Danio rerio: one gene and its partners. The protein of the gene in region 1 binds, or shares a complex with, the protein of each later gene. Links are inferred from orthologs where the notes say so. Each region holds a gene or a part of one and is shown in the gene's direction. Other genes may lie near its edges.

The links. Proteins that work in one complex are often made in the same cells at the same time.
Region 2: the proteins of tgfb1b (region 1) and tgfbr2b are in contact, whole or in part, in a cryo-EM structure (PDB 9FKP), measured with the Homo sapiens proteins. The link is inferred for Danio rerio from reciprocal best matches to the Homo sapiens genes TGFB1 and TGFBR2. Residues at the interface, in NP_000651.3 of Homo sapiens: Arg303, Lys309, Trp310, His312, Tyr368, Tyr369, Val370, Gly371, Arg372, Lys373; in NP_003233.4 of Homo sapiens: Phe47, Leu50, Phe53, Asp55, Ser72, Ile73, Thr74, Ser75, Ile76, Cys77, Glu78, Val100, Asp141, Glu142.
Region 3: the proteins of tgfb1b (region 1) and lrrc32 are in contact, whole or in part, in a cryo-EM structure (PDB 8VSC), measured with the Homo sapiens proteins. The link is inferred for Danio rerio from reciprocal best matches to the Homo sapiens genes TGFB1 and LRRC32. Residues at the interface, in NP_000651.3 of Homo sapiens: Leu30, Ser31, Thr32, Cys33, Lys34, Pro325, Pro327, Tyr328, Ile329, Trp330, Ser331, Leu332, Thr334, Gln335, Tyr336, Val339, Leu342, His346, Ala353, Pro354; in NP_001122394.1 of Homo sapiens: Ser135, Tyr137, Glu158, Ser160, Thr162, Val184, Met186, Asp187, Ile188, Glu189, Asp190, Phe193, Leu202, Leu204, Arg206, Asn207, Ser208, Leu209, Thr210, Cys211, Ile212, Ser213, Asp214, Phe215, Ser216, Leu217, Leu223, Leu225, Cys227, Ser229.

Annotation. Positions count from the first base shown.
Region 1 is NC_133196.1:23,078,441-23,081,922, forward strand, and holds the end of tgfb1b (transforming growth factor beta-1 proprotein), read left to right. Parts: intron 1-692; coding exon 693-843; intron 844-2,282; coding exon 2,283-2,393; intron 2,394-2,469; coding exon 2,470-2,517; 3' UTR 2,518-2,980; downstream 2,981-3,482. UniProt on the Homo sapiens protein: Transforming growth factor beta-1 proprotein: Precursor of the Latency-associated peptide (LAP) and Transforming growth factor beta-1 (TGF-beta-1) chains, which constitute the regulatory and active subunit of TGF-beta-1, respectively.
Region 2 is NC_133191.1:44,030,604-44,034,905, reverse strand, and holds the start of tgfbr2b (TGF-beta receptor type-2), read left to right. Parts: upstream 1-1,495; 5' UTR 1,496-1,661; intron 1,662-4,302. UniProt on the Homo sapiens protein: Transmembrane serine/threonine kinase forming with the TGF-beta type I serine/threonine kinase receptor, TGFBR1, the non-promiscuous receptor for the TGF-beta cytokines TGFB1, TGFB2 and TGFB3.
Region 3 is NC_133185.1:556,916-561,210, forward strand, and holds the start of lrrc32 (transforming growth factor beta activator LRRC32), read left to right. Parts: upstream 1-1,488; 5' UTR 1,489-1,563; intron 1,564-4,295.

The DNA of each region.
Region 1 (3,482 bases):
GAGGCCATTTGAGTACAGTGAACTCATAGTCATGTTCAAGAAACCAGTCTGGGAGGATTTGCATTTTATGACATGGCACGTTCTCCTGCTGGAAGTAGCCCTCAGAAGATGGGTACACTGTGGTCATAAAGGGATGGACATGGTCAGCAACAATACTCAGGCAGTCTGTGGTGTTGACAGACACATGCTCAAATAGTAGTACTTGCCCCAAAGTGTGTCAAGAAAATATCCACCACATCATTACACCACCAGCAGCAGCCTGAACCGTTGAAACAAGGCAGGATGGATCCATGCTTTCATGTTGTTGACGCCAAATTCTGACCCTACCATCTGAATGTTGCAGCAGAAATCAAGACTCATTAGACTAGGCAATGTTTTTCGATTGGCTGATTTGCGTTAATGAGCAGTTGGACATTTGTACCTAATAAAGTGGCCAGTGAGTGCATCTATCTATTTTTAGTGGAAATCAAAATTAGAGAAAAATTTGTGGATAAAATGCCTAGACTAACCTTTACTAACAGCATGTGGTGTGGACACAGAATGGGTTGATTAGCATGTTATAGCTATTTCTGTGAAAAAAAGGTCAATAAATCGTTTTGTTATTTTGATCTTCACTGTATTTGTGTATTGTATTTGTGTATTTGTGTGCTACATCAGAAGCCTTACTGCTGTCTTCTGCGTGTTGAATACAGAAAGTCTGAGGGTTGCTGTGTTAGGAGTCTGTACATTGACTTCCGCAAAGACCTGGGCTGGAAGTGGATTCATGAACCTTCCGGTTACTATGCCAATTATTGCACTGGCTCTTGCTCCTATGTCTGGACATCAGAAAATAAGTACTCACAGGTAACCCTTCAACAGTCCCTTCAACACAGTTCTGTATGCTACTTTTACCATAACGTGTGATTCAAAAGCTCATACATTTTGACTTTTGCACAACATATCAACACAATCTCAAGGCAATTCATAATTTTTTGATTTAGTGGTTAATTCGTATGAATTTGTATGATCTCATTCATACAGTTTAGTACAATTTGCTTATCCCCCAATGACGGGTGGGTTTAGGGGTGGGGTTGGGTGCCATGCCTTCTTTTTAAAATAGTACATTTTCATACGACTGAACTCATAAGAATTTGTAATAATTAACCCCTAAACTGACAAAATGTAAAATAGATACATTTCCTTGTGAGATCAGGCTGGACATACCTACACTGTAGAAAAATATACTGGTGGACTTAGATTTTTAAGCTGAATCAAATTAACAATTAAGTCAATTAAACTTATATTATGTTAAACTGACTTAAAACAGCTTGCGTATCTTACAAAATTAAGTTAGAACATGATTAACTTAGTTTAATAAGTTACAGTGATCTACAACATATGCAGTCAGGACTAATTGACCATATATTTTTTAGTGTATACATGTATGGCTTTTCCAGAAAACTTGCTCAGTAGCTCAGCTGGTACAGTGTTGCTTTTGTCATGCAGAGAGCTTGATCCTTTTAAAGAACTTTTTCAAAATTCTGCTTGATACCTGAAAACAAGTCTTGCTATTTTTTTTTTCTTTTTAAAATATGACATGTCATTTGTTATTGTGATTGTTGGTTGGAGAAACACCTTTAAAGCTGACATTGTTTAAGTGCTATGTAATCAGGACAACCTAGTAACTGACAAGCTTTGTTTTACAACCTTACAGAAAAATAACTGTTCATTGCCATAAAATATTGCCTCGTTACTTTTCACACACCCTGGATATTAACACCCCTTAATCTAGCTTTACACATTTACACCTATCAGAACAGAGCATTAATATGCTAGTCAATGAGTTGAATCTGTAAGCTACAAACACAGGCTTTTCCATTAATACATATTATAAATGTAACCGCTTTCTTTCAAAAATGTCCGGGTTCAGTCCTGAAGCTGTAACCTCTTCCTTTCCTATTCGCTTGTTTTGTCGTTTCTGGAGTGTCAGAATAGCATGTAAAGCCATGCCATGTGCTTCGAAAGCAGTTGCTTATATGCATTTAAATATGCCGTTTCTGCTTACATGCATATAGAGGCTAATTTGACAAGTTAAAATGAAATATTTTGTGGGACTTTAATGCAAACGTTTAAACAGCATGCAAAAATTTTTGCAAAAAATTTCACGATAGGCACATATTGTATTATCATGAAATTGAGTTGGATGTTTCACAATGTACTTAAAAAAAAAAAAAAAAAAAAAAAAAAAAAAAAAAAAAACGTGCCTGATAGTTTTGTTTTTTTTAATGTAATTTTGCCTACAGGTTCTTGCACTATATAGGCATCATAATCCTGGTGCCTCTGCTCAGCCCTGCTGTGTACCTCAGGTTCTAGACCCACTGCCCATCATTTACTATGTGGGGAGACAGCATAAGGTCAGAACGGATTTTCTCACTTTCATCAGCTCTCAGTAAATGCCATCTAAATAAAGCTCAATGTATTTTCCCCCAGGTGGAACAGTTGTCAAATATGATTGTGAAAACCTGCAAGTGTTGCTGAAAGCATCATTTCCGTTTGGTCTTGATGAGCAAAGTTAAGAGAACAACACACTGAGGTGCTTGAGACCCAGCACTTTCTGAGGGGATTTTTTAATTCTTTTTTTCAACTTGTTCTTTTTATTTTACTTGACTCTACTGTATCACACTTGTAATGATAGATTGTTTTTTACCTGTTGTACATCTATTGTGTCATAAAACTGTACTACATGTTGCCATTAAAGTGATTGTATTCATTGTTTGCTATAAAGATGCCAAATTTATTTAGTATTATTATTATATTTAGTATTTTTATAGTATTATTTAGTAGATAAATCAAATTGAGACATTTGAGACATTTCAGGTTCTGATTTTATGTTTAAGTATTAAGATTAAACATACAGTTGAAGTGAGAATTATTAGCCCCCTTTGAATTTTTTTCTTTCTTTTTTTATATTTCCCAAATGATGTTTAACAGAGCAAGGAAATTTTCACAGTATGTCTGAAATTTTTTCTTCTGGAGAAAGTCTTATTTGTTTTATTTCGGCTAGAATAAAAGCAGTTTATTTTTTTAAAAAGCCATTTTTAGCCAGCTATATTTTTTGATTGTCTATAGAACAAACCATCGTTATACAATGACTTGCCTAATTACCCTAACCTGCCTAGTTAACCTAATTAACCTAGTTAAGCCTTTAAATGTCACTTTAAGCTGTATAGAAGTGTCTTGAAAACCATCAGATAAAATAATATTTAATGTCATCATGGCAAAGATAAAATAAAGCAGTGATTAAAAACGAGTTATAAAAACTATTATGTTTAGAAATGTGTTAAAAAATCTCTCTGTGAAACAGAAATTAGGGAAAAAAACGGGTGCTAATAATTCAACTGTGTGTGTATATATATATATATATATATATATATATATATATATATGGAAGAAATAACTTAATAAATTATCAGTTAAACTTTTATGGCTTGTGTTTACTGTAC
Region 2 (4,302 bases), on another chromosome or scaffold:
TAATAAATATTTAACAGTTTTTTTATTACATGTAATAAGTGCCGCCTTGATGAACAGAATCATTTTCTTTAAAAATCACATGAAAAAAACTGACCCCAAACTTTTGATCAGTAGTGTATATATACAAGAATATGTGTGTTTAAATTTAATGTTGTATATATTTTTTAATTATATATAATTTAATTATTTAAAATAGGATGGTGCTATTCCTTTTTGTATTATTTTTATAAAGTAATTGTAATGTATTTTTAAAAGGGGTATAGAAATATTATTATTTATTGATTCATTGATTTTAACCCAGATGTAATTAAGATTGAAAAAAAGCATTCAATTGATTTAAGTTAAGTGGTTGGAAACAATGTATATGGGCTGAATTTAAACACACAAATTAAGTTGAACATTGCTAAATTTAATTTGTATGTTTAAATTTAGTTTAAATTGCAACCACTTACCTTAAAAATGTAGCAAATGCAATTAATATTTTTTTCAGTGTAGTTTTAGTGGCTTAACCAGTACTTATTTAAGGGGATTTACACCTATTTAAATTTGAATACTAACAGTTCTTGACCCCAGTGAGCTACAAAAAAAAATTAGGTAAAATTATAATTATTAGGTGTAACAATTTATAATAGGAATGAAGACACTTTGAGCTTTATCTAGAATATTTTGTGCTAAAAATATGAAAAGTTATACATTGTAAAGTAATGAGAAAGAAATATTTGTTTTTCCATATACAGAGACATGAAATCAGTCATATAATAGCCTAGAAAAAATATTCCTTAAGGCCAAGTGTCTCATGAGTTTATATTTCAAATTTGATGAAGATAACATGCTGAAATAAGATTTCTGTAAAGTTTTCCGAGACTATATCGGTGTCCTCTCCCTCACCGTCAGAGGCACTTTCTTAAAAATGACCTTCCTAAATGAAACCAGTAACAATTATTTAGTTTACATTTACATTTCATGTATCTTTGGAAAGAAGATTTTGGGTTTTACAATGTTTAAAATGCTAAAAAAAAAATCATAAACAAATATATAATGGATGAAATTAGACCTGGAGCAATACAGAAAAGTAAAAGGTCAAAAGCCACACATCTCCTGAGTATATGTTTTGAATTTGATGGCAATCTCATGCAAAATTACATTTCTGGAATTGTTTTTCTGAGGCAACGTCCTGATGCTGGCTAAGAGGTTAAAGGTGATGTGTGTAAATTATTATACAGTAGATACACTAACATAATTTACTTACTCTTTAAATGACTTGGAATATCATAAACAGTCAAAGCTCGTCACGCCAGAAAATACCCCAAATCTGTAAACTGTCAATAGGTTTACGTAACTTTCTTATTTATGCTCCAGGCTGATATCCTCTCCGCTCATCTCTGTCTTTTTCCAGCACAGTTTTCCAGGAGCTTTAGTGGGAATATCGCAGTGTTTTTCCCCCTCTTGTTTCCATTCCCCTTTTCAAGATATGAGGAACTCCGCCAGAGAGGTTGCCATGGCGTCAGCGTCCACAACAGACAAAAACAGTGAAGATTCATCCAGAGCGGCACAGCGGGCACTGCAGAGACTCAATCAGCTGGAGACCCAACACTTCACTGTTTCTGCTCAGACTGTGCAGAAGGATGATCCCCTGTGAGTTCCTGGGTAAAAGCCAGACGGTGAGACTGTTTAACTGCCGCTTACGTCAGACTGTGTGCTCTATGTTATAAGAAAAAAATAGGCAAGATTACAGCACTACCAGAGCATTTTACCTCAACAGTCCATATCCGATCTGGAAACTAAAATAATAAGACTTTGGGCCTGTCCCAATACCCATATTGCACTCTTGGCCACTGGTTAGCATATAGTATACATGCAACAGGAAGTGCAAAGATAAATAAATAAATAAAGTATAGTGTTGCAAAAAAAAAAAAGGGGCAAAATGATTGGCTCCTTTGAGCATTATAATTTTTTTTTTATATATAATAAAAAAAAACATTTCGCTGTGTAGAACATATGCCAGAGTATTTGGGGGTTCATTCAGCTGCAGTGACCCCTGATAAATAAGGGACTTAGGCGAAGGAAAATTAATAGATAAATATTTCGAAGTAATGATTAACAGAGGCACGACACATTTTTTATAACTAATTCATAACTAATTTGTCTTTGCCGGGAACATTTTACTAGTTATTTTTGTAGTAAAGAAGCAAAAACTGAAATTTAAAAGCTTAGCTGCGTAAACTGTTTAACCACAGCAGGGCTAATGTCTGTAATTAACCTTTAATAATGCTAAAATCATTCATTCATTTTCTTTTCGGCTTAGTCTCTTTATTAATCTGGGGTCACCACAGCGAATGAACGGTCAACTTATTCAGCACATGTTTTACGCAGCGGATGTCTTTCCAGCTGCATCCATGCACACTCACACACATACACAATTTAGCTTACCCAAATCCCCCATAGCGTATGTCTTTGGACTCTGCACCACCGTGCAGCCCCATGCTAAAATTTAAATCTAAATGTTATGATAAACTTAACAAAACAAAATAGCATGGACAATGTAACAATAGAAGATTACAAAAGCCCATAACCAAATTAGGCTACTGAATCATGAAAAATTGTCAAATAAATAAAATAATTTGATTATATAAAAATAAGCACTATAGTTTAAATTAATAATAAATTCTAAAATGATAGTAAAATAACACAGACAGACAGATATAGGTAGATAGATTATGCAGTATAGGCAGTTCGCCAGAAACTTACTGTAAATTAATTACAGCAAAAACACTGTATTTACAGATAGATAGATAGATAGATAGATAGATAGATAGATAGATAGATAGATAGATAGATAGATAGATAGATAGATAGATAGATAGATAGATAGATAGATAGATAGATAGATAGATAGATAGATAGATGAAATTAATTGCAGAAAATGGTGGCAGCTGTACTTGTTTTTTTTTTCTGCTGGTGTGAGATCAATTTGTTACCTTTGAGAGAAGAATGTGTTTTCCAGCAGGTTGCGTTCAGTGAATCAGAGACATATGGGTGGCGCAGAGAAAGCCTGAATTATAGCTTCTTTCAAAGCCCTGTTTGTTTTCCTATGGAGCAGGATGGGCCATTACCTCATCCTTGTGTTTTAACTGAACACGAGTCACTGCTGCTCCGTGCGTGTGTGTGCATGTGTGTGTGTGTGTGTGTGTGTATGAGCACACATGTGTTCTGGTAGGGCATTCCTTTGGCTTTCAGCACATTACAGATGATCTCTGCAGAGATGTAATGGCCCAGTGGGAATGGGGTTTGGGAGGATGCTAATAAGTGAACTGATGAATGGAATGTTAAATCGAGTCCTCTGACATGTCGAATATTGGCTAAAGCCCGCTGACCGCTTCTATTGCCTGTGGTATGTAATAATAATAACCCACGCTCATCATGAGCACTGGTCTGTTCAGTGAGGCTCATTTTTTCTAAATTTTTTTTTTAAGGTAAGTCGTCGCAAACAATATATGAGCTTAAACAATTTAAACAAATAAATTAAGTTGAACTAATTTAAATTTAAAGCTAAATTTAAATTTACTAAATTTAATTTGTTTGTTTAAATTCAGCCTGTATTAATTGTTTGCATTGGCTACTTGATGAAATATCAGTATTATAAGTTTTGATGGTTTTAAATACAGTAGATGCTGTTTTCAGTCCTGTTTTGAAGTCTTTCTTGTCCAAGACAGCTAGTTCTTTTAGTAGACATCCCAGAGGAGTTCTAACAAACTCAATTCTGCTTATAGTCAGTAGTCTAATTATATTTTGTTGAAATGGCTTTTCTTGTAAGGCTTTTGTAACATTATTAACTGAATTAACTGAAGTATTGTACATGTTGTAATGGTTGGTAGGCCAACCAGCTATTGGATTAGTAACTATTAGTGAAAATATTTAAAGATTAATTGCTTATATAGCGTAATATTATATTGAAATATTTTGAATGTAATCTAAAAGTTATTCTGGTAACATTTTAGTTTCAGTGACAATTCCCACTATTAACTGGCTTGTTATTTGCCTGTTATTGTCACAATCACCAGCAATCTAATCCTGGCAGATCGTAAACACACAGTTAGATAAGGAACTACAAATCCGCCAGTACATGGACTACCAAATCCAGTCATGCACCACTCACACGCACCTGTTCCGGATTAGACAGTTAAACAGTTAGGAAAGCAATCGAATGCTTCAATTATAACATTGGATGTGTGCAGTTTTAAAGTGACACCTGTTATTTAATGTAATCAAATTAAAAAATCCAAATAATTGAGATTTATTCAC
Region 3 (4,295 bases), on another chromosome or scaffold:
TTGGTGTAATAGAAACATTTTTCATTCAGATCCGACAATAGCTTTTCACCTAACTGCAGCAGATGCCCGCTAGATGGAGACAGGGGAGCGTGAGAAGACCATCAACAACAGTGTCTTTAGATGGAAAACTACATTACCACATACACATGCTGCAGTCATCTATAGCAATACTCTATTGTTTTCTAATCACAGCCTACTACAGGACACATAGCGCATATATATATATATATATATATATATATATATATATATATATATATATATATATATATATATATATATATATATATATATATATATATATATATATATATATATATTCATTTAAAACTTTTTTAAAATATACCATAAATAAAACCACCATAAACAAATTTTGTTTTTTATTTCATTAATATTATTGTTTTATTGATGTGAAGCACTTTGCACAACTTTTTTTTAAATTAAATTTTTTTTTAATATTTCCCAAATAATGTTGAACAGATTGAGGAATTTTTCACAGTATGTCTGATAATATTTATTCTTCTGGAGAAAGTCTTATTTGTTTTATTTCGGCTAGAATAAAGGCAGTTTTCATTTTTTAAACACCATTTAAGGTCAATATTATTCGCCCCTTTAAGCTCTATTGTTTTGGATAGTCTCCAGAACAAACCATCGTTATACAATAACTTGCCTAATTACCCTAACCTGCCTAGTTACCCTAATTACCCTAGTGAAGCCTTTAAATGTCACTTTAGGCTGTATAGAAGTGTCTTGAAGAATATCTTGTCTAATTTATTATTTAATATTTACTGTCATCATGGCAAAGAGAAATACATCAGTGATTAGAGATGAGTTATTAACACTGTTATGATTAGAGATGTGTTGGAGAAATCTGCTCTCTGATAAACAGAAATTAGGGAAAAATAAACAGGGGCGAATAATTCTGACTTCAGCTGTTTATAAATAAATTGCACGCGTCACTTCTGCTCCCGTAGTTTCTGATCTAAGCAGAGGACCAGTCTCGAGTACGGGTGAATGACACCGTTGACAAGCCTCACTTCACTTCTCACTGTGTGTGTGCGCTGGATGGACGTGTTTGACGCTCACACTGGATGAAGCTCAGCTCAGCTTTAAAACAAGTTCAGCTTTTCAACATCGATTTATTCTGTGTCATTGAGCCACAGAAACCAGTCCTGTGTGGATATAGCTCTGGAATATAAGGCGGAGTTTACCTCCAGCCGGGAATCCCTGCAGCCGCGGCCGGACCAGAGCGCCTCATTCTCGGGCAGCGGAGAGCGCAGAGCAGCGGGAAACTCTGATTTACACAGCAGCACACACACAGGGGAGATTTCTGAAGCGATAAGAGTTCATGTTTTAGGATACCGAGAGACTGGGTTAGAGAGTAAGAGAGTCAGAGGGAGGGAGAGAGAGAGGGAGGAGGTCAGATATCTGCCCAATCCCCAAACACCGCTCAAAAGGAAAAAACAAGATCATTTGCAGGATATTCTCACAGGATGTGTAGAGGAGCAGAAGAAGAGGAGCAGATGCTGGAGTGGAGGAGATCAGGAGCAGCGCAGCACTGAGGTACACACACACACACACACACACACACACACACACACACACACACACACACACACACACACACACACACACACACACACACACACACACACACACACACACACACACACAGTATATATTGTATTTCCTATTGTCTAACTCTAACTGTACACCTAACAGGAAAGTTAATGGTAACACTTTATAATAACTACACACTATGAATTTATTAAGCATTTACAAATAGTGAATTCATTATCTGTTGAGCAGTAACTCTACATTAATAAAGGTTAGTAAGCATGTCATTATGTTATTAATAATTAATTTTGACTGAAGTAAGTATTACACTATTTACAAACCAATCATTTAAGAATAGATGGTGGTTTTTAAAGATAATTCAGAATGTGTCAGTAAAGGATTAATAAACTATTCAAATTACATTTATATATTATTATTATTATTATTATTAGTTATTTAGTATGTTTATAAATGTTTTATTAACTCAACTTTATCCAGTTTTGTGACTTAATCTATAGAGAACTATTTATGCTTTATAAATGACTTATAAATGATAATTAAAGGCTCAGTTATATTCTAAACAGGAAAAACAGAAAATAAATGACTTTTATTTAATTTATTATTTTTAAATTTTAATTTTAAGATACACCAGTAAAACTGCATCAAATGAAAAAGGAATCTTTGCAACCTTATCTAAAATAAAACCTCTGTACACTGTAATCTTCACTAAATAACATTAAAATGTTGCATCATAATATATTGTTAAGTTATTATATTGTTGTTGCTTTCTCTAATTTTTACATAAATTTTATTTTTTTGGTAATATTGCATGGAATATTGTTCATTCGATACTGAGCTTTTAATTGTCATTTATAAGGGATTCATAAAGCATTAATAGTCCTTAGATCAGGTCACAAAGCTGGATCAAGTTGACTTAATAAAACATTTATTAACATACTAATTAACTATTAATATATGCCTGAATAATAAAGTATTGAAATCAATGTTTATACATATTATTAATGATTAACTTATTTATTCTGAATGATCTTAAAAAACACAACTACTCTTAAATAACTGGTTTGTAAATGACACAATACTTAATTTAGTAATGAAAAATAAATCACTCACAAATCATGAACACAATGATGAAGCACGTTATAAATGTGTCAAGAGTACAGCATTTGCAGCTGCAGTTATAAACTGCTTACTAACCTTTATTAATGTAGAGCTAATGCTTAACAGATTATGAATTCACTATATGCTGATGACAAATGATTCATAGTGTGTAGTTATTATAAAGTGTTACCAAGTTAATATTTAATTTCTGAGGAAAAAAACTTGTTCTGTTTGATTAATAAGCCTTATGAAGAACAGACACATGAGGAAAGCTTTCCTCCTAAACCTGTCATACATACACGTGCCATTACAGAAGTGTGTGTGTGTGTGTGTGTGTGTGTGTGTGTGTGTGTGCTTATATGAAGAGTTCAGATGCAGGAAAGAGTATTTACAGTAAGAGTTAACTGTAGTACGAGTGTTAAATGTCAGTGCTGCCTGACATTTTCATGTAAACGTATCTTCTCTCTCAGCCTCCAGTGTTTATGTTCAGATATTTCACTGTAATGCAATAGAAATATCAATTCAATGGAAATTATTCACTAGAACTATGAAATTACTGAACATCATAGCGCTTGACTTTTTCCACATTGGTTTATGTTACAGCATTATTACAAAATGGATTAAATTCCTTGATTTCCTCAACATTCTACACACAATCCTCCATAATGACAATGTTAACAAAGACATTTTGAAATAGTTGCAAATTTATTAAAGATAAACACCTGATAAATCACCTGTGCATCAGTATTGACAGTGTTTGGCGTGAAGCTCTAAACTGAGCTCAGGTTCATTCTGTCTCCACTGGTCATTCTGGAGATGTCTCAGCAGCTTCATTGGGGTTCAGCTGTGCTCAATTCAGCTGATGGACAGGATCTGTAAAGGCTACACCTGTCTATATAAGGGCCCAGGGTTGACAGTGCATGACAAAGCACAAACCAAGCATGAAGACAAAGGAACTGTCTGTAGAGCTCAGAGACAGGATTGTCTGGAGGCACAAGGCTGGGGAAGGTGACAGAAACATTTCTGCTGCTCTGAAGCTCCAGTGAGCACAGCGGCCTCCATCATCCGAGCATCAGAAACTAAACTCTCTGCTCTGATGAGACTCAAACTGAACTGTTTGGAGTGAACGCCAGGCGTTACGTTTGGAGAACAGCAGGCGGCGCTCATCAGCAGGCTAACAGCATCCCTACAGTGAAGCATGGTGGTGTTGGCATCATGCTGTGGGGATGTGTTTCAGCAGCAGGAACTGGAAGACTAGTCAGGATAGAGGGAAAGATGAATGCAGCGATGTACAGAGACATCCTGAATGAAGACCTGCACAAGAGTGCTCTCCACCTCAGACTGGGGCGACGCTTCATCTTCCAGCAGGACAATGAGCCAAAGCACACCGCCAACATATCAATGGAGTGGCTTCACAATGACTCGGTGAATGTGCTCAAGTGGCCCAGCCAGAGCCCAGACCTAAATCCTATTGAACATCCCCGGAGAGATCTGAAAATGGCTGCACACCGTCACTTCCCATCCAACCTGATAGAGCCTGAGAGGAGCTGCAAAGAGGAACGGGCAAACAAAAGACTCGAGGCTGTAATCACTGCCAAAGGGGGATCAACATGTGATTT